Stegostoma tigrinum: one gene and its partner. The main gene of each other region encodes a partner of the protein of the gene in region 2 in a complex. Links are inferred from orthologs where the notes say so. Each region holds a gene or a part of one and is shown on either strand. Other genes may lie near its edges.

The links. The genes of interacting proteins can lie anywhere in the genome.
Region 1: the proteins of tubgcp3 (region 2) and mzt1 are in contact, whole or in part, in a cryo-EM structure (PDB 7QJD), measured with the Homo sapiens proteins. The link is inferred for Stegostoma tigrinum from reciprocal best matches to the Homo sapiens genes TUBGCP3 and MZT1. Residues at the interface, in NP_006313.1 of Homo sapiens: Lys7, Pro9, Leu12, Leu13, Asn15, Leu16, Cys17, Arg19, Ile20, Leu21, Arg23, Val28, Gln31, Tyr34, Ala35, Val38, Ile39, Asn42, Phe43, Ala44, Pro45, Thr46, Ile58, Leu62, Arg67, Asp70, Phe74, Leu77, Lys80, Leu81; in NP_001065243.1 of Homo sapiens: Asn17, Ala20, Val21, Glu23, Thr24, Val27, Leu28, Glu30, Ile31, Ser32, Arg33, Ile34, Leu35, Asn36, Thr37, Leu39, Asp40, Glu42, Thr43, Ile46, Cys47, Val48, Arg49, Leu50, Cys51, Glu52, Gln53, Gly54, Ile55, Asn56.

The regions. Positions count from the first base shown.
Region 1 is NC_081359.1:25,379,481-25,390,477, forward strand, and holds the start of mzt1 (mitotic-spindle organizing protein 1), read right to left. Parts: upstream 6,335-10,997; 5' UTR 6,259-6,334; coding exon 6,213-6,258; exon of another isoform or gene 6,099-6,212; intron 5,868-6,098; exon of another isoform or gene 5,813-5,867; intron 1-5,812. Other genes in the region: bora (protein aurora borealis), read left to right, coding at 9,048-9,212, 9,758-9,864. UniProt on the Homo sapiens protein: Required for the recruitment and the assembly of the gamma-tubulin ring complex (gTuRC) at the centrosome.
Region 2 is NC_081359.1:13,323,320-13,334,316, reverse strand, and holds the start of tubgcp3 (gamma-tubulin complex component 3), read right to left. Parts: upstream 5,517-10,997; 5' UTR 5,316-5,516; coding exon 5,240-5,315; intron 1,115-5,239; coding exon 1,007-1,114; intron 1-1,006. Other genes in the region: atp11a (phospholipid-transporting ATPase IH), read left to right, coding at 10,809-10,847. UniProt on the Homo sapiens protein: Component of the gamma-tubulin ring complex (gTuRC) which mediates microtubule nucleation.

The DNA of each region.
Region 1 (10,997 bases), about 12 Mb from region 2:
GCAATGAAATTCTGAACTACAAAAAGAACAGAGATTACACTTTACGCTGTAACAAAGCAGAAATCAAGATGGATCAAACATTACTTACAGGTTAGTTAATTCATGCATAGAATTACTCATACATACAAAATAATGCTCCAAACCAAACTCCCTACAATCAGTTATGTACTCTGGTTGCTAACCAGAAAATAATCTCTTCTTACCAAATCTGGCCTCTCTCATAGCCATCCTTGTTTTTATTTCTTTGTGGCAACTTCCAGATGCAGATATACTTTGATAACTGCATTTCTAATTCTTTCTCTGTGATTTGTTCTTAGTGATCGAGATATGCATCATTTTTGGTTTTAACTGATTTCATTCTAACATTCATGCTTGCTGTTAACAAAACCTATCTACTAGTTTTTGTAAATCTTTTCTGTGCTTGGTGCAAGTTTTGGATCTGCAAATCCAACCCAGTTATCACAGCTTCCCTTACTGGTTTCTCAAAACCGTCGCTTTGGGCGCCACAGTCAGGTGTGCAGCACTGCAGCAACAGTCCTACTATTACTACCAGTTTTCTAGCAGCTTCACTTCTCCACGCTAGGTCAAAACTTCCAGTGTTCTTCACCAAAATTCAATTTGATCAGATCACAAATCAGAATGGTGTATTTTAGATATCGCTGCTATATAAATCTTCAGGGGCCCCATTTGTTCAGTTTCCTTTCTTTTGAATTGAACCTCAAATTTCCACAAGTATTCTGCTCAATTTCCAATATCAAAAACATTTCAGCTTGACATATCTGGAGAGTTGCGAATGGTGCTGTACATTGTACAATCATTGGCGAACATACCCACTTCTGACCTTATGTTGGAAGGAACGTCATTGATGAAGCAGCTGAAGATGGTTGGGCCTAGGACAATACCCTGAGGAACGCCTGCAGAGATGCAGACATTCATATTCCTAAAATTTATTGTGCATTTATTTCCTTGATCTGAGGTTTTCTAATTATCCTTTACTTCTAGGGCTAATGGTAAGGTTCTTAGTAGTGTAGATGAGCAGAGAGATCTCGGTGTCCATGTACACAGATCCTTGAAAGTTGCCACCCAGGTTGATGGGGCTGTTAAGAAGGCATACAGTGTTTTAGCTTTGATTAATGGAGGGATCGAGTTCCGGAACCAAGAGGTTATGGTGAAGCTGTACAAAACTCTGGTGTGTCCGCACTTGGAGTATGTGCACAGTTCTGGTCACTGCATTATAAGAAGGATGTGGAAGCTTTGGAAAGGGTGCAGAGGAGATTTACTAGGATGTTGCCTGGTATGGAGGGAAGGTCTTACGAGGAAAGGCTGAGGGACTGGAGGCTGTTTTCACTAGAGAGAAGAAGGTTGAGAGGTGACTTAATTGAAACATATAAAATAATCAGAGGGTTAGATAGGGTGGATAGGGAAAGCCTTTTTCCTAGGATGGTGATGGCAAGCACGAGGGGGCATAGCTTTAAATTGAGGGGTGAAAGATATAGGACAGATGTCAGAGGTGGTTTCTTTACTCAGAGAGTAGTAAGGGAATGGAACGCTTTGCCTGCAATGGTAGTAGATTCGCCAACTTTAGGTACATTTAAGTCACCATTGGATAAGCATATGGAATAGTGTAGGTTAGATGGGCTTGAGATTGGTATGACAAGTCGGCACAACATCGAGGGCCAAAGGGCCTGTACTGTGCTGTAATGTTCTATGTTCTATGAACCCGCAGCGATGGCTCCGAATTGTTTCTGCTTGAAACTGCAGTTCTGTCTTTCCTGGGAAATATCATGAAAATGGTGCTGAAACTATCAAATTGACACTTCAATGAGTTTCTCTCCCCACAGTAACTAGAGTACATGGGCATGCTTCAAGCTGAGGTGTTTATCCAAGAAAGCATTTAAGTGAAGTTCACCAGACTGATTCCTGAAGTTGCAGGTGTGTTACATGAGGAGAGGTTGGGCCCATTTTTAAAAGAAAAATATTTATTCACTTGTGGGATTATGGGCATCGCTGGCTGGCCAGCATTTATTGCTTATCCCTAGCTGTCATCTTGAACCACTGCCGTCCACATGCTGTAGATTGACCCACATTGCATTTAGGCAGGAAATTCCTAACTAGACCCAACTGGTCCTGTATGCATTGCAGTTCAGAAGAAATGGGGAGATTTCATTGAAACATACAAAATTCTTTTAGAACTGGCCATACTGAACGCAGGGATGACGTTTCCCCTGGCTAGGGCAACCAAAACAAGGCATTAAGGTTTCAGTATATGCAATATGCCATTTTAGACCGCGATGAGAAGGCTGGTAAGCCTGTGGAATTCTCAATCACAGAAGACTGCAGAGGCCAAAGTATTGAATTTTACTTAAAGCAATAGATTTCTCGAGGCTAAAGGGATGTGGAAATCAGGGTTCCAGCACTGTGATAGAAAATTAGGCACAGCCATGTTGACATAAGCATGTGACATAATTTGACACAGTCTCCTCAGTCAAGTGTTTATCTTGCACTGCTATACCCAGTTTATTATGCCATGACTCTGAAGAAAGCATCTGCCTCCACAGCAAAACTCTGCAACCGACACCAATTAACACACTTTTCCTCCCAGAGTGAACAGTGACAGCTCAAAATTACCGCTGTTGTTTAGGCAGCCTCCAATGTAACCCATCAGCTGTGAAAAGTGGGAGAAGTTGAAAATTAGGGAAAAAGAAAACATAACCTTGTAAGGCATTCCAGATATGCAAAGTAAAGCTGTTACAGAGAGAGGGAGAAGTGGAAAGAATTCCACCCTATGAGTCCATGGTTTTCAATGACATTCAACCTTTCTTTCAAATTCTGAAGAAGTGTCACTGGCTTTGAAACCTCAATTGCTTTTCTCTACACAAATGATGCCAGGCCTGTTGAGTTTCTCCAGATTTTTGTTTCAGATCTCCAGCATCCAAAGTTCTTTGTTTTATTTTAAATTCCCACGTCTTCCCCACATTTCATGGGAGCCCAATAGAAACATCACCAAATCCAAGACGCTGCTTTTGCTGCTCTCATTAACACTGACAAAAAATACAATAAAACAGTGGAATGCGTAATGGTCAACGTAGCTGAATCGCTGGATGCTGCTGGGGTCCACTAATAGCCGACAATGGATTGGTCATCACAGAAGCCCATATGATGATAGGGCCTGGAATGTGGTAATAAAAGAGAGATCGACAAATGTCTTCAAGCCCTCAAAATTACTGAAGCTGATACTAAATCCTGAAGGCTCCAGGATCCTCAAGTGAAAAATGAACTGCTGTTTTCCAGCTTTGCTCGTTAGCACAGCAAGCCTGAAACAGTGATGCTGGCTAGGGAACACAATGGTGTGATGAAATTGCGGGCCATCAGAAGCTGTCATGTTTTGTACACAAAACATAGGTGTTCGGCAAAGCGGTCGTCCAATTTGCATTTCATTTTTTTAGTGTAGAGGAGACCATATTGTGAGCACTGCATGCAATATACCAGATTGAGTAAAGTGCAGGAAAATTGCTGCTTCACTTGGAAGGTGTGGGTGGAGCCTTTGACAGTAGGGAGGAAAGAAGGAAATGGGCAGGTTTTACACCTCCTGCAATTGCATGGTAAGTTGCCACGTGAACAGAAGGTGGTGTTGGGAGTGGAGGAGAAGTGGTCCAAGGTGGCTAGGAGGGAACAGTCCTGGCAGAAAGCTGGCAAGGAAAGAGAGGAGAATGTTGGTGGCATGCTGCTAGAGGTGGAGGAAATGGTGTCTTATGATCCTTGGATGTGGGTGCTGTTGAGGTGGACGATGAGGACCACTGGGACCCTATTGGTTTTGGAGTAGTAAGGGAAGGGACGAGGGTTTAATTGCACAAGATGAGCTGGACACAGCTAAAGATCCTGTTGACCACAGCAGCGGGGAATTCTTGGTTGAAAACAACGTTGGAATAGACTCTTTACAGGAAGCACGTATGAGCAAGTATAGACCAAGAACTGTGAGAATTGATGAGTTTGTAATGCTTATCCCCAGAAATGGAAACAGATTTTGAAGATGGGGAGAGAAGAGCTGGAGGAGAAATTGATATCTTTCCAATTCTGGATGAGGGAAGCAGCATCAATAATGTCAATACACCAGAGAAGGAGTTGTGATAGGAGCCCCAAGAAGAGCTGGAACAAGAAATATTCTATCTACCCATAAGGAGATAGGCATTACTGGCATGCTGATACCTACGGCCACAGTTTCAATTTGAAGAAAATAAGAGGAGTTTAAGGGGCAGTTATTCAAAGTAAGGATGAGCTCGGAAGAGTAGGAAGTATACAGGGCAGTTCAGGCCTTCTTCCAGGAAGTAGTGGAGGGCCCCGAGATCATCCCATTGGTGGTTGGAGGTGTAATGGACTGCACGCCCATTGTGAGGAGCAGGAGTCACACAAGCTGGAAATTGGCAAAGCATAAGAAGAATCACAAATGTAAGTGGGAAGGACCTGGAGAGGAGAGGAAAAAACAGAAAATCAAATCGGGTTGGGACAAAAGAATTTGTGGGCCAGGATCACGCAGAAACAATGGTCTGCCCAGGCAGTCCTGTTTGCGGATTTTCTCTGTAGCATCTGTTCTGACGATGCCAGCTTCTGCAAGGGGCCACTGAAATGTCCACCTCTTTCTCAACTGAGGATTCCCTGCTACCATGGTTGACAGGGCCCTCAGCCACATCCAACCCATCCCCCGCACTTACGTCCTCACTCCTCCTCTTCCCACCCTAACACGGATAGGGTCTCTCTGGTCCTCACCTGCCACCACACCAGCATCACATTTAAAGGTTCATAAGCCACCATTTCCACCACCTCAAGTGTGATGCTGTCACCAGACACATTCCCCTTCTCTTACTTGTGAGTCTTCTACAGGCACCATTTCCTATGGTATAACTTGGTGCATGCTTCCTCCGTTCCCAATACATACCACATCCCTGTGGCACTTTCCCAGAAATGTGCAGAAGGTGTAAGAGATGCCAGTTTACTTCTTCACTTGTCACAATCGAAGGCACCAGACATCTTCCAGATTAAGCAGTGATTTACATCCGCTTCACTTACTCATCTACTGTATTTGCAGATCACAACCTGGTTTCCTCTACGCTGGGGAGTCAAAACGCAGATTGGGTGGCCATGTTGCAGAACACCTACGTTCTGCAAAAATGACAGCTCCAATTACCTGCAACTTCAACACACCACTGTGCTCCTTGGCTAACATTTATGTCTCAGGTTTGCTGCAGTGCTCCTGCAAAACTCTTTGAAGGGTCAATATGCACCCAATGGGCTGAATGGCTTGTAGAACCCCTGCAGTCTGGAAACAAGAGGCACAGTAAATTGTATGGGCCTATATTTTTGAACTTGCCTAGTCAAATTAGCTTGCTGTGTACTGTTCATGCTTAAATGGATTTGACAAGAAGCATAAAAATCTAAGAAATAGGAGTAGATCATTCTAAGGCCCACATTGCATTAATGAATAAAAGAGAAATTCTGCCTTTTGAGCCCAGTCTGCCATTTAATGAGGTCATGGCTTCTCCGTCATCACCAATTCCTACACAATCCCTGGATATTACTTTTAAAAGTGGAAAGCTATCCATCTCACTCTTGAAAATACTCAAGAACTAGGATTCTATACAGTTTTTTTTGTGGGTGGGGGGATGCTTGAGCGAGAATTGAACAGATTTGCTATCCTCCGCGAGAACAAGTCCCTCCTCATCTCACTCCCTGAAAGGTTGTCCCCTCATTCAGAGGCTGTGACTTCCGGGTTCTGGACATGGGTGTGCGGAGGGGCGTGCTATATCCACCCTGTCGAATCATATTCGCATGTCTGAACGGAGATCACCTCTTCTGGTCACCGAGGAACACAGGTATGAGCTGTCTACTGAAATCTTTTGCTCGTAGGGTACATCCTTCTCCATCCAGAAGGAAAGTAAAACAAAGTAGTGGAGATCCCAACCCGAAACATCAACTTTCCTGCTCCCTCTGATGCTGCCTGGCCTGTTGTGTTCCTCCAGCTCCACACTGGAGAAACTCAGAAGGTCTGGCTGCTCCTGTGGAGGGAAGGCAGCATTAACGTTTCGACATTCTTCCCCTCCCAGGAATTTGGAGTGATGAAGCCGCGATCAACTCCCTTTTAATGACATGGAGGATCGGTAGGAAGACAAGAACCGCCAACTTCAACACGAAATCACTCGGTTCTCTCTCACACTCACCGTCCATGGTCTCCCTCACCGCGTTCAGGTTAGCAGCGTTCGCCATTGCTCCACCTTTCACCCGGAACCACAGCCGCCCGGTCCCCGCCCATTACATCACCACATCTTTAAAAAAAACTAAACTAGTCACCGTAGCAAGCAGGAAACTGTGGTAATAAATCTTGTGAAATAACCGGTCGGCGTCCAACCGATGAAACGGGATCGACTTATTATCACTGTGAAGGTTTTCCTCTGGGTCAGCGGCCGTTTAGAATCTTGGCTGCCGTTTGAATCTGATTGGTTGATGCTGGCGCGCACCCGCCGATTGGTTGCCGTCTCACCGCCCAAGGAGACATTCCGATTGGCTAACGATAACTGAGACCGGTAATTGGCTATATCCCTTGCCAATGTTTGTGTTTCTTTGGCTGCCACCATCCAAACCAGGTGATTGGCTGGCTGCGTTCGCTGCGGTAGCCGCTGATTGGCCAGCGGCTGCGGGAGGGACATTCAAGGCAACGAACTCGGTGAGAGGAATATTGAAGGTAAGATCTACTTAAATATCACTTTAAAATAGAGAGAGAGACACTAGTGTCAAATAGTGTGTAAAACGGAGAGAAACTGGGATGGAATATCATCAATGTCTGGTAAAGCAGAGAGACTGGGGTGAAGTTTCATCAATATCATATAAAATGGAGAGAGATTGGTGTGAAATTTCATGTAAAACTAAGGGTGCCTCGGGTGGAATACCATCAATAAGTAAGAGAGACTGGGGTAAAATATAATCAGTTTCATATAAAACGGAACGAGACAAGGAAAATATCAATATCTTGTAAAACACGGGAATCGATAAAATGTTGTCGATATTATCTAAAACACGGATAGATTGGGTGATATATTATCAACATCATGTAAAATAGAGAGGAACTGAGGTGATATAATATCAATAACATTTAAAACAGACATACTGGGTGAAATATTGTAAACTGGAAAGTCTTGACTGAAAATATCACATAAAACAGAGGGTAGAGTGAAATATCAATATCATGTAAAATAGTGGCAGGTAAAATATCGTAAAATCTTTTAAAATAGAAAAATGGCTAAAGGATTGTTGATATCATGTTTTTGTTGATTCTTAGGAGACTTGAAAGGGTAAATGCAGACAGGTTGTTTATCATTCTGAGTGACTCTAGGAGCAGAGGGTTTAATTTCAGAATAGGGAGTCACCCATTTAAGTCAAGGATGTGGATGAATCACTTCTGAGAGTAGTGAATCGGTGGATTTTTTTTAAAATCTGGAGGGCTACACAGGCTGGGCTGTCAAGCACATTTTCTGTTTGTATACAAAGCATCTTAAGCATACATTTTAATATATAGTATATATGTGTTTAGTAGACTAAGTATATAAGGCTATGATAATCTGCAAGGGAATCTAGGGTTATGGGGAAAAGGCAGGAAAGTGGATTGATGATTATGAGCTTGATCTCATTGATTGAATCTCCTCCACGAATGAGCTGAGTGGCCTACTTTGCCTATATCTTATGCTCAAAAGCACGCTATGTGTCCTGCATCTCTCACACACGTGTTTCAAGAAAATGTTCATATTTAACTTCTCCAGGACAATTAGGGATGGACAATAAATGCTGGCCCAGTCAGCAATGCCCACATCCCGTGGATAAACATTTTAGAAAAATTAGTCGAGTTCTTGAATATATTACATAGCATGAAAAACTGCATTATTTATTGTATAAAATGTTTGCTCAGCTAGAAATTAATTCGTGTTCTTTATATGTGAAGAACCCAAATCTGCATAAAATAGTTCTTGGACAATGGATACAGCAGCTAAACGAATTATATGAAGAATGTCATTAGTTAATGTGACTCCACAGAAGCAAGATATGTAAGCAGATGTGCTGTGATACACTTGCTGATGTAGTGCAGTTATCATAATATGCTTAGGCTAATTAGTATATTAAAGATATCTGATTAGTAAGGAACTTTCTCAAACAAAATTAAGATTATTCTTTCAGCTTGTCTGGGTAAGGCAGGCTGAGGGTTGCAGAGGGGATAACCTAAATGATCATGGCAGCACAGTACACAAAGACACTCGATGGGAGTAAGAAAGAATGTAGTTGTGGTAGGACACAGGATTGTGAGGGAGATTAACAAAGTTTTCTGCAGCAAAAAAGCATGAGTCCAAACAGTTGTGTTGCCTGACAGCTGCCACAACGCGGGACACCTGCTTGGGGCTGGAGACGAACTTGCAATGGGAAGGGAAGGACCCAATTGCCATGGTCCACGTCAGTACCAGCGACATAGACAGAACAAAGAAGGAGGCTCTGCATTGTCAGTATGAGGAGCTGGGTGCAAATTTTAAGAAGCAGAACCTCAATATTCATAATCGCTGTGTTATACTTGAGTCACTTAAAAACTGCCATAAGGTAAATCAGACTTGACAATTGAATGTATAGCTGAAAGACGACTGTCGTGGCAGAAATGGGTTCCAGTTCATTGGTACTGACACCAGTTCTGGGAAAGTGGGATCTGGATAGATGGGCCGAAGCATTTCGAACATTTTCCAATTTTACTACTTCGTGTTGCAGAAGAGTCTTTTCAGACTTGAAATGTTAATCTTATTTCTCTCTCCATAGGTATTACCAGATCTACTGAGATTCTACAGCATTTCCGGTTGTTGTTTCCAGTTTCCAATATCTGCAGTATTTTGTTTTCATTAAAAGAGTAGGTGTGAGACATATGTGAAAATTTGACATTAAAAAACATATTGTTTACTTATTTCACAAAGATTCTTGTTTCCCCAATAATAGAAGTGGAAAGGTTCTACTTACTATAAGGAAGAGGAATGGGAGATTTGAAGAGTGAGACCAGGGTACATGTAACACCAGACACACCCGGGCGACCTCCTGTTTCAAATCCTTTTGAGAGCCCCAGTGATTATGCAACATTGCATGAACCAGTAGTCCCTAGTCCCTCTGTCTTCAAATTAGTGAAAACACCTGATTCACAGGTATGTTTGACACTCCTTAAAGAGAATTCTTTTCTCTCATATTGAATACAAAATATTGTAATTTAATTGATTTTGTGTGCTATAAAAATAGCAGTGTGGAATGTCAAGTTTTTTTTTAGGACAAAGGCGTTTTACCATATGAAAACTATATTTGAAAGAGTGATACCTGGTTGTATTAGCCATTAGAAAATTAAAGTTATATTAAAGAGATAGATCGAAGTTAGAGGAAATGCTTTAAAGCAAGGAAGATTCTGATTATCAAATTTTCGTTACATTTGTTTGGGATCACTTAGTCTGTGGTTAGTTTGAAAAGTGCCAGAAACAGTACATATTCTTCATTTTAGCCCATATCATAACATTGAGGCTAGCACTGAGGGAAGAGCTGTACTGGTGTTGACTTTCACTGCATTCCAACAGTGACTACAATTCAAAGTATGTTTCATTGGCACTTTGAAGTGTGCTGAGGTTTCAGAAACCAGCTATAAATGTAAATTATTTCTTACTTATGTTGGATGGCTTGAAAATATACTACTTTCCTTGCTTAGACACCTGGAAAATTCAGATGGTCCATTGGAGAGCTTGCCATCCTGCATCCTATTGAAATTGATCCAGAAGATGTTCACCAGCAATCTGCATACATGAGCTGCACCAGGTTACCAGTTTTCTTTACTATGACTTGCATACAATGCAGCCATTAGATCAGCATATATGTAATTAGATGCCCTTTCTCATTTACATGTATTAGAGTTTTGTTTGCCATTTTGATGGATAAGATGATGAGGCACTCTAGAGTCATTTTCTTGCTTGTGTTTCAATTCCAAGTGATTTGACAATATCAACATATCCTCAATGAATTCAGTATGTGATTAATGCTCCTTCAAAAGCAACTTCCAAATGCACACCCTCTCTCACCTAGAAAGACAAGGGGAGCAGATAATCGGAACACCAGCACCTACAAGTTCCCCTGCAGCCACCACCATCGTGACTTGAAACAATATCACCGTTCCTTCACTGTCTATGGGTCAAAAACCTGGATCTCCCTTCACAACAGTGCAGTGGGTCTCCCTACACGTTTAAGAAGGCAGCTCACCATCTGGACAACTAGGAATGGACAATAAATGTTGGCCTAGCCAGTAAAGCCCATAAATTACCCATAAGAACTATGAGCAGGAGTAGGCAACTCGGTCTGTCAAGCCTGTTCCACCACTTGATCATGGTTGATCTTATTTCAGCCTCAACTCCACTTTCCTGCCCACTCTCCATAATCCTTCAACTCATTACTAATGAAAAGTCCATCTCCTCCTTAAATTTACATGAATGTCCCAGCATCCACTGCACTCTAACAAATTTCACAGATTGATGACCCTTTAAAAGATGTAATTTCTCCTCATCTGTTTTAAATTTGCTATCCCTTAGCCTAAAACTGATCTCTTGTTATAGATTGCCACATGAGGAAACATGCTTTCTACGTTTACTTTGTCAATCCCCTTTTGCATCTTGTATCCTCTCGTACTTCTAAACTGCAGAGAATACAGGCCTGAACTGCTCAATCTCTCTTCGTAAAACAAACCCCTCATGTCTGGAATCAATCTAATGAACCTTCTCTGAACTGCTCCAATACAATTAAATCTCTTCTCAAGAAAGGGAACCAAAATTATGTGCAATATTACACATGTGGACTCACTGATGCCTTATACAGATTCTGGTTTTTATACACTACTCTCTTTTAGTGATTATTGTAAACATTCAGTTTGTCTTCATTATTATCTACTGTATCTGTATACT
Region 2 (10,997 bases):
TGTCAAAAGTATTAAAAAAATGTTTTCCGACACAAGATTTTAAGAGGAGTTACACCAGACTCGAAGCAACTGTCTCTCTACAGATATTGCCAGAGCTGCTGAGTTTCTTTCCTACATTCTGTTTGTTTCAGACTTCATGCATTCGCAGTACTTTGCTTTTATTAGAAGTGTAAATTTTTTTCATCAGAGGATTGTTAGTCAGTGGAATTATCTTTCTCAGGGAACACTGGAGCCTGGTTTTTTTTTTAAATATTCAAGACTGAATTAGATGGATTTTTGTAAGGAAGTTCAGGGTCACGGAGACAGTCAGTAAAGTGGAGTGGGAGTACAATCATGAGTTATCGTATTATCAAATCACAGAACAGGATAAAAGCACTGAATGCAAACTCCTGTTCCTCATAATATCATCCTTGCAAAAGATCACAATGCTCAGTCTTCTCTTTAAAAAGACCATGTATAGCATTAGTTCTTGTGACCTGCTCCCTTGGAGGACCATCTTTTGTTTAGGCTGTTAAAGTCTATGTGCAAGTTTTTTCTTCCCACCGTGGTGTGGAACCCACCTTCTCTCCTCACCATTGAATATGCAACTATTCAATTTTGTACCAATCTTCCATGTAATTACTTGTTACATAAACTGGGTGATTCACAGAACTTGATAATAAGTATTGTTTACACAGCAATCACAGCAAGGACAGAGGATGAGATGAGTTCATTGACAGTGTTATATTTGACAGCGTTATTATTTCAATGAAAGGAGAGAGTACAACAACTAATACTATACATGGACTTTTTAAAGAGAAGACTTAGCATTGTGATCTTTTGCAAGGATCATTTTATTGGTAGACTGCACCTAATGAAAACACAGGTTTGACAAAAACTTAGATCAGACTACAACTTGGCCGTAATAATGATGACATAAAAGAAAAATTCCAAACCTAAGTGACCTGAATAGAGGCTGACAGAACATTTTCATTGATTACCAAACTATTTCAAGAAGCCAACTTACTTTCTTTCTTGATCTTTTCAGCGACAAGAAATTCATCTCTTTCCACGGTGGGAGCAAAATTACTTCCAATTACTCTCACAGCATACTGGAATTGTTGAGCCACATCAGCTATAAAAGACAATCGCACATGGTAAGGCCAATTCAAATCCAGAAGTCTGATGGGAAATTAAAACAAACTAAAACTTGGTCTCAAAAACAACAACAGACAAAACAAGTTCCAATTCAAACTGATCTCAATCACTTTGTAATACAGAACATTATACAATCAAAACCCTGTCTCAGGTATTTTCCCATGCTTCACACTGCAAATTTCCACATTTTTTTGCCAACTTATTATAGTTACAAATGTGGATAAACAATAAAAACTGCTGGAAAGATGCATTCAGAGAACTAAATGATGAAACAAAATGATGAAACAATATAAAGAGGACATGAGGCTATAAAGGGAGATAGACAGTTAGGTAGGCAAAGATCTGGAAACTGCACTATGAATGTAGGAAAGTGTGAAATAGTCTATTTTGGCAAAATGAGAAGAGGAAGAAGCACATCAAAACTGTGAGAGGTTGCAGGACTCCGAGATGCAGAGTTCTGTGAGTCCTCATGCACGAATTACATAAGGTTAGTATGCAGAAACAGAAAGTAATCAAAAAAGCTTGTAGAATGTAATAGTCTATTACCAGGTCAACTGAATGCAAGAGTAATGAGACTTGCTTCAATTATACAAAGCACTGGTGAGACCACATCTGGAGGACTGTGTACCGTACTGGTCACCCTACATATGGAAGGATGTTAATACACAGAAAGCAGTTCAGAGAAGGTTTATCGGACTAATACCTGAAACGAGCAGATTGCTTTATGGGGAAATGTGCTTGAGCCTAGGACACTACCCTGAGAACGCCTTCAGAAATGCTCTGGAGCTGAGAGGGTTGACCTCAAATCATTTTCTTTTCAGCTACTTATGGCTACAAAGAACAGACAGTTTTCCCTTGGCTCCCATGGATTCCATTTTGCTCGTGCTCCTTGATGCTACAATTTGTCAAAAGCAGCCTTGACGTCAAGTATGGCCACTCTTATCTGACCTTTGGAATTCAGCTCTTTTACCTACATTTGAACATAGGCTGTAACAAAGTTAGGGGCTGAGTGGCCAGTACCCAAATTGAACATCACTGATCAGATTACTGCTAAGCAAGTTCTGCTTCATAACATTTGATGACACTTTCCATTACTGTACTGATGATGTAGACTGGTCGGGCAGAAATTGGCCAGGTTTGATTTATCCTTTTTGTTTAAGAGGAAACAGCTGGGCAATTTTTCACATTACCAGGTAGATGTCGGTGTTATAATGTCCCAGGATGTTAAATAAGGAGTCTACAAGTGTTCACAGTACCTCAGATATGGTGTCATCAATGACCTGTATAACTGAAACAGAACCTCTCTATTGGTATTCATTTCCCCTTGTAATAAATTATTACATTGCATCAGCTTCCCTTATTACTTGCTGTTATGCATAGTAACCTTTTGCATTTCATGCATTAGCACACCCAGATATCTCTGCATAACAAGAACTCTGCAATCCTTCATAATCTCTATAATCTGCCCTTTTTCCCCAACTTTTGCTCCCAAAATGGATAATTTCACTTTTCCCACTTAAAACTCTATTTGTCAGACCTTTGTCCACTTGTTTAAGTTATGTCCTCTGTCTACTTCATAATTTACTTTGCTAACTACTACAGTGTCATTAGCAAATTTAGCAACCATATCTTTCATCCTTTCCTTCAAAATAACTGACACAAATTGTAAAAGGTTGAGATCACAACTTGTTTCTGGTACACTACTTGTTGCATCTTGCAAACCTGAAAGTGACACATATATGCTTATTGTCGCCTGTTAGCCAGCCAAGCTCTTATGTATGCCAATGCATTCCTTTCCCCACACTGTGATATTATATTTTCTGCAAAAACATTTGACACAGCACCTTACAAATGCTATTTGGAAAACCAACTGCAACACATCCGCTAGATCTGTTTTCTCCACAGCATGTTAACCTCCACAAACAGTTACAACAAATTGTTTAAAAATGATTTCCCTTGGACAAAGCCTTGTTGACACATTCCGATTATCTTAAATTTTTCAAACAGCCACACTAACATATTCATTAATAGCTTCCAGCATCCTCTTTTTGACATACGTTAAGCTAAATGGCATGCACTTTCCTGCTTTCTGTTGTCAACTTTGAATAAAGAAGCTCCACTTGCTATTTTCTAATCAAATGAAACTTCAAGTCGAGAGAATTTTGGAAAAACAAAATAGCATGTTAATTACCTTGCTAGCTATTTCCTGTACGTCCCTAGGATAAGGTTCACAGTACCTAGGAATTGGATAGTCTGCAGATCCAACAATTTACTCAGTACAACACACTTGATATAACTTTCCAAAGGTCCCTTCTGTTTTCCATTTTTGATATACACACATTTCTGACATGTTATTCGTACCCACTTGTGAAAAGTACTGCAACATTACCTGCTTAAGTAATCTGTCATTTCCTTATTTTTGATAAGTAATTCCCTAAACTGACTTCCTTAGTGCCAACAATTTTCTTTTACCATTTTTCCTTTCTAAATATCTATAGAAACCCAATGTTTGTTCTTACATTTCTATCTAGCTTTCTCACATATTCCAAATTTTCTAGTTATACAGTCTGTTTGTGACACCACAAGTGGAAAAGTGCAAACAGTTTGGTCATGCTTATGAAAGAATGTAACTGGATTAAAACAGTGCAAAGTTAACTTGATCAATTCTTGGGATAAAACATTATCCTCTGAGCAAAGGTTCGACATGTCAGCCCTATATCCGTTGGGGTACAGAAGAATGAGAGTTGATCTTAATGAAACATTTAGTATCGACGGAAATTAACAGGGTGGATGCAGGAAGGATAGTTCCACTTGTAGGAGAGATTGGAGCCAGCAGGCACAGGTTAAAAATGAGGATTCTCTCAATTATGACGCAGAATAGAAGAATCTCTTAAAAGAAGCTTAGTCCCCAGATTTCTCTTCCCCAAAAAGGGGAAGCACAATCACTAAATATTTTTAAGGCTGAGTTAGACAGATTCTTGACTGAAAAGGAAATCAACAGGTTTAGGGATGAGACAGAAAGGTGGTGCTGAGGCCAGGCGGAACAGCCATGGTGTTACTGATGGTGGAACATGCTTGCTTAACCAAAATGTCCGAATTTGTATGTTCACTGCAACTCAAAGTGAAATTTCTGGTGCCAGGGAATGAGTTCATATAACTTATAGGGAACATGATATTAATTATAGATTAAGTAGTAATGGACAACAGAAAGCAATAATCTAAAATGAAGTTTCCAAATTGGAGGGCAACTAATTTCAATGAGATGAGGAGAATCTAACCAGATAAAACTGGAAGAGTAATATGAATGAATGATAAACAAAAAGTCTTAGGAAAAATATCTTTGCATACTGAATGCTCATAATCTGGATCCCACTGTGTATGAGGGTCATAGAAGTGGAGATAACTAGTAATTTCACAAGGAATAAGGATGGCAATAAAGAAAAGTAAACCAGCAAAGCTACAGGGACAGAAAAAGGGAACAGAATTGATTGGATTACTCAATGAAGACCAGTATTGTTCTGATACACCAAACAACTTTCTTGTCTTACAACTGAATGTTAACTTTGCCTTTTCTCCAGCTACATTCGATTTACCCAGATTCTGTTTAGATTCCAAAAACCTGAACTCTTTCTTCTGATACCATCTCCTCAATTTAATTACTCCTCCTATCCCCGGTGATACTACAGGACTCTCACTATCCCTATATTGTCTGGCACTATTATAATCGTGAGCAACCCAATCTCTACTCAGCTGGATTTCCGATTGGAGGACTCGAATTTTACTCCTCTCAATTTCATTGCCGCCAACGTGAGAAAAACCTTCTAATCTTGTCCCTCTCCAACATCCTTGACGTTGCTGTACGCTTAGCCCCTCAAGAAAACAAGCCACCATTCGAGCCGCTCAATTCCACCTGCAAACATAACCCATCTAACGCCTCCCCTGCACGTCCGTACATCATTCCCTCACTCCACCTGGGCTTGTTTTTCATTCTCACCAGGGCTGATTCGCTGTCGACACATCCCTACCTCACTGTCGCCAGGCCATGCCAGGCCAGACCAGCAAGTCTCCGGCTTCACAACCTCCAGCCCCCGGCCCTACTCACCCTCATTGCGGCCCAGGATCCGGCAGCACAGGCTTTGCAACAGTAGATTCGGGGACTTGTGATCCACAGTCGCCATCGCCGGGCCTCCCACTGTCCTGTTCTAGGAGACCCAGTTCCCGGGTCGGAGCCGTTGCCTCGGCTTTTCCACAGTTCGCCCAGGTTCAATCCCGGTTCCGTCTTAGCTCCGACCCGGCGCCAAGGGCGCCATTTTTTTAAGAGCCCGCGGCATTGCAACGGAACTACAAACATCCACTTCCTGGTCAGGGGGTACAATCCGCTGCGAGGAGATGGGCGGGGTCTGAGGACCAGACGCAAGCACGGCGCCGAGTAGGTGGAGTCAGGAGGGTGCAGCGGCTGGCCAGAACGTTGCGTGGGCGGGGCTATGTGATGGGAGCGTGGTCAGGATAGGGTTAGCGGCGAGTGGGCGGAGACAAGTAACAATGGATGGGTGGGGTCCTGTGCAGGGGCGGGGACGGAGTGGGAGGTGGAAGTAGTATCGTAGATAATAGGAACTGCAGATGCCGGAGAATCCGAGATAACAAAGTGTGGAGCTGAATGAACACCGCAGGCCAAGCAGCATCTTAAAAGCACAAAAGCTGACGTTTCGGGCCTAGACCCTCTGATTAAGGGTCACGGCCCGAAATGTCAGCCTTCCTGCTCCTATGATGCTGCTTGGCCTGCGGTGTTCATCCCGCTCTACATCTTGTTATCTGGGATGCGGAAGTGTGGGGAAGAAGGTGGGTCCAATGATGACGGGCGCGGAGCATGGAGTGGGCGGGGCCAGTATGGACGGCGCAGTCGGACAGCGGTGAGGTATTAAGATGTGGGCGGGGCAGTCGGAGAGAGGTGAGGTAAAAAGGGACAGAGCCTGCGGACGGGTGGCGGGTCGTTAATAGGGGGGCGGGGCTATCCTTCGGAACCTGGCGATGACTGGGTTGCTCGTGAAGTAGGCCGTGCAATGATATGGCGGGTTATAGGGCAGTGTCGTGGAGTGGGCGGGGTGAAATAGGTAACAGCTGGCACGAGGAAGAGCCTCTCGGTGAAGGCAAGGCTGTGAGGGGAAGATGCCGTTTCCATGGTTACTGGCGGCCTGCTGAGGGTGGAGCTGGCTTTTGTTAATCTTCCCGCAGCCATCGTCCTGTGCCTCACACTTTGAAAATTCGTTGTGAGGTTTTCTTGCTGCGATTTAAACATCCTGCACACTGTTTCCTTGTATTTTGATGCAGGTGTTGTTTTAAGTTTATCCGTGTTGGTTGATGAGCCTGCCATTTATTGCTCATCCCTGATGGTAACAATGGGTCATTTCAAGTGATAGCTCTGTGTCAGTAACATTGCCGTGGGTTTGGAGTCACATTTATAAGGGAGGGAAAGCGAACCTTATCAGAGGTAGCAAGAACTGCAGATGCTGGAGTCAGACTTGACACAGTATGGAGCTGCAGAGGCGCAGCAGGCCAGGCAGCATTGGTGTCGTCAACTTTCCTGCTCCTCTGATGCTGCTTGGCCAGCTGTGTTCATCCAGCTCTACACCTTGTCATCTCTGACAATAAATGCTCATCTTAAAAATAGTGCAATGAAATCTTTTACGTAACCCTTAGAAGACAAATGCGTGTTCAGTTTAACAACTCAAAGTCATACAGCACAGAAACAGGCCCTTTGGTCCAACCTGATGAACGTAATCTCAAACTAAATTAGCCCCTCCTGCCAACACCTCTGAAAAGCTGTTATGTCCAGTGTGAAGCACTCTTACTTCAGACTTGAGTAGAAATTTAGTCTTAAGAGGTCACAGCTGGACATCTAGGTCAGCCAGCCCTGGTCAGTACAATAGAATTCCTTCTGTAAAGGGCATGAATGAACCACAAACCAATAGTTGTACGGCAACCTTTTCTCTCTTTCACATTAACTATTAATAAATTAATTGGTCACAATTCATTTGACTTCTGAGATTCACTGCCTGCTCAACTTCCAGTACGTACTGATGTAATTGCTGTTAATTTTGTTATTCTCTTCCTCTCTGATTAAGTGCCCTTAATCTTTGTCATTTTAAAATCTGAAACAAATCCAAGGAAAATGACTTACCTCTGATTTGGTTTCAAAATACTTTTAGGCATTGTTACATTTATTGTAATGTAAGTGTCTTGGTGCCTCATTGTCTCATCTCAAGCTTCCCCATGGACATAAAGGTTATTCATGTGACACTTTTACAGAAAGACTTTCATTATAGAAGTTTACTGATTGAAAGCCAAGGGAAGATCAGAGATTCACTTTTCAAAAACTTTCTTGGGGACTGTGTTTTGGAGACATGTGTCACGATCCAGTGCTTTTTTTAAACAGTGAAAATATGTAGGATTGTGTTGTCAATTTAACATATTAGTGTTTCATTGATTAAATACACTGTATTTAAGAATTGCAAAAGTTGTTTTTCAATTTTAATTTACTGAATATTAGATTTAATCCTGATTTTCCTATAATCCTTCACCATATTTAACATATTTTGAAAATTGAGGTTGCTGGTTATCATTAGATAACATCTCTCTCTGCAATTTTAGATATACAATCAGCTGAATTATCTGTTGATTATATTTATTAAATCTGTTGCACCAAAGAAAATCAATAAAAATTAGACTTCACTCCAGAAGCCAGTATGATGAAGTGTTAGTTGGTGTTCTGTTTTGCTTTCTAGCATCTAGGCAGCCACAACACTGGAGACTGACTGTGACAGCATCAAAATAAGCTTGTGATCCCAAATTTTCCAGGGCTCAGTCCCAGAAACATAAGACATGGACAAAAGATCTATTCAGGACCATCTTCCTCCCTAACCCATAAAATTTCAAAAAGCTTCAGTGAACATTTAAGCATCCAGACAAATCTAAGCAAGAACAAAAGTAACATTGCTTTGTACTATGTCTTTAACATATGAAACAGTCTGAAGATGCTTTGTGAAGGATTATCTGTCAATATTTGATACCGATCCATGTAAAGATGTATGGGGGCAAATAATAAAAGGCTTGTCAGGGAGGTAGGAGGAGAAAGGGATGAAGAGGTTTCGAGAGGAGGTTCTAGAGCTGAGGGCCTAGGCATGTTGAAGGTTTCAATGCCAATGGTAGAGTAAATGAAAGAACAAATACATGAGAGACCCGAATTTGAGAATTAGAGGTTGCAGATTGATTCTAAGGCTTGAAGAAGTTATTGGGGTGAGGGGATGTGAGGGATTCAAAAACACTGATAAGAATTTTAAAACCAACAAATTGCCAGACTGAAAACCAGTTTAGCCCATGTGACGTAGTGTTGTTAAATGAACAGCTCCTGTTGCTGTTAGGATATGCACAACAGATTCTTGAACCAGCTGATTCTTAAAGTTCATAGAGACTCAAAAGTCAGGGTTTTAAGACATGGTCCTGGGCAGAATAATATTCAAGACATAGTAGGAACTGCAGATGCTGCAGAATCTGAGAAGGTGTAGAGCTGGATGAACACAGCAGGCCAAGGCACATCAGAGGAGCAGGAAAGCTGACATTTCGGGCCTATAACCTTCTATTCAAAATGGTCACATTTATGGCTTATAGAGACGTTTAAAAAGAGGTTTTTGTAACATTGTGGTGAAGGAGATCTTGAAGAAGGAGTCATACAGCACAGAATTAGACCAACTTGTCTGTGTCAACCAGGCATCCCAATCTAACTTAGTTTTGTTTGCCAGCAGTTGGTCCATATCCCTCTAAATCCTTCCTATTTACATACTTGTCTGGATGTCTGTTAAATGTTGCAATTGTACGCAATTTCATCTGGCAGCCGTTCTGTACACGCATTACCCTGTGTGTTTAAAAAATAGTTACCTCTCAGGTCAGTTATAAATCTTTATCCTCTCACCTTAAACCTATGCCCTCTAGTTCTTGTGTGATTTTGAAAATATCAGCAAAGTATTCGCCAGGAAGTGAAGTACCTGTTCATTTGGTGAACACCTGAATCTGCTTTGTTCTTGTTTCATACTGCACACCCTGTGGGATATATCATCTTTCCATCAGAGGAGATGGTAGTAGAGGTATGGCAGCAATTGGGACTTCCATGCTCAAATATTGATATTTAACAGCTGATAACCATCCCTTGCAGGCAATTTCCTTGTTGCTGGGGAGATAATGGCCTTTTAAACTTCAAATAATAGGGTTCTGCACCAAAACAGAAATTGCTGGAGAAGCATCTGTGGAGAGAAAACAGTTATTGGTATCAAGAACTTCTTCAGAACTGTAGCAAGAATATTCATAGCATGTATTTGTAGAAGATGATCTGGATGAAGAGAGTTATCCATGTCAGCTGAGAGAGCTGTTGTACCCAGTATATTTCCTTATGAATTGCAAAGCATGGTGGTGATTGTAGAGCATTGTGCTCTTTTGATAATGTACAATAGTAAAAGTACATAGTACATAGTTTGTTGGTAAAAGTTTCTAAATCTTCACATAGGTTGATCCAACAATTATTGGCCGGGAAACTTGCTGTCTTCTGCCCAACTGGTTTCGAAACAGAATACACACGTAGTATAGTATATCATACCAAACAACGTTTATCAATCATTTTTAAAGTAAACCTCGATTTTGTGCGAGGAAAAATGGTGAGCCTACCAGTGCTCATGGTAAAGTGAAATTGGTTAATAATGTTAAATGCAAAATTAGGAAGCTGTTCGATCCTTCTTCAAAACAGGTCTTAAAGCGGTTTCGATTCCACCGAGAAACATGGAACGGCGAGACTTTACAAACTTAAACAAAACTTTTACGTTTTCAATCTCTGCCTGTCGAGATCCCGTCTTTCTCCTACGCTGCCTTTCTTTTGGTAACAGTGTCTGATTTGACCTCAATTCACATGAGTGTTTGGATTGTGTGTCTGGTTTTGCATTGAGCTGCGGGCCTCGTTCACACGTTGAGGGGGCGCTGGACTGTTCCTATCTCCCCACTGGTAGCAAGTTGTACAAGCCACCACACCCTTGGAGATCAAATAGGAAATCGATTAGGGAACACAAGTATCGCGGAGACAGGAATGGCGGAATATAGTCATTCTTTGTTCTATTTTCGTTTCTTATTCTGGACAGTTTGAAAAGAATCTGGTGTGCAAATAGCCCACCTATTTGTGCAGGAAAAATCGATCACTGTTTTCCTATCTCTGTGCTGTAGATATCGTGCAGAGTGAAATGTGGGAGACCTAGTAACCTGTCCTTCTGAGGCAGCAGATCCCCTCTGCGGCTGTAAACAACAACAAGACAGCGCTGTTATTAAACATTAAACATTAATATTAAAGATTCATGTTGAAGGAGCAGGAGCTCCGCCCACACCATTATATTGTGTTCCCGGTAATCCCGGGGATGTTGATCTGAGTCAGTTCCCCTTCTGTCTCTCTCTGTGCCTGGGAGTGCGGGTCTTTGCCTGAACCGCACACCCGGAGGAGGAGCCTGCTTTTCTGGAAGGAGGAAGGGGATCAGTTCCCGGAGAGAGCGGGAGCCCTCGGGACCAGGACATGCGCTGTGTAATAGCGGATTAGAGCCGCCGATTCCAGCGCAGCGGAGCCGGACAGGGACCGGGAAGAGGCGATGGACTGGAGCGGGCTCTGGAGCACCATCCGCCGCTGGGTGAGTAACCTTCGGCCCAGCCCCCGACGTTGGGAGGGGTGGGGGAACAGTCTCTGTCGCCCTCCTCCTACCACCCCCCTTCGCCGGGGTCCCGGGCCCGGCCCAGGCTATATCCGGGGCCCGACACCTGTTCAAATCCGACTCTTCTTT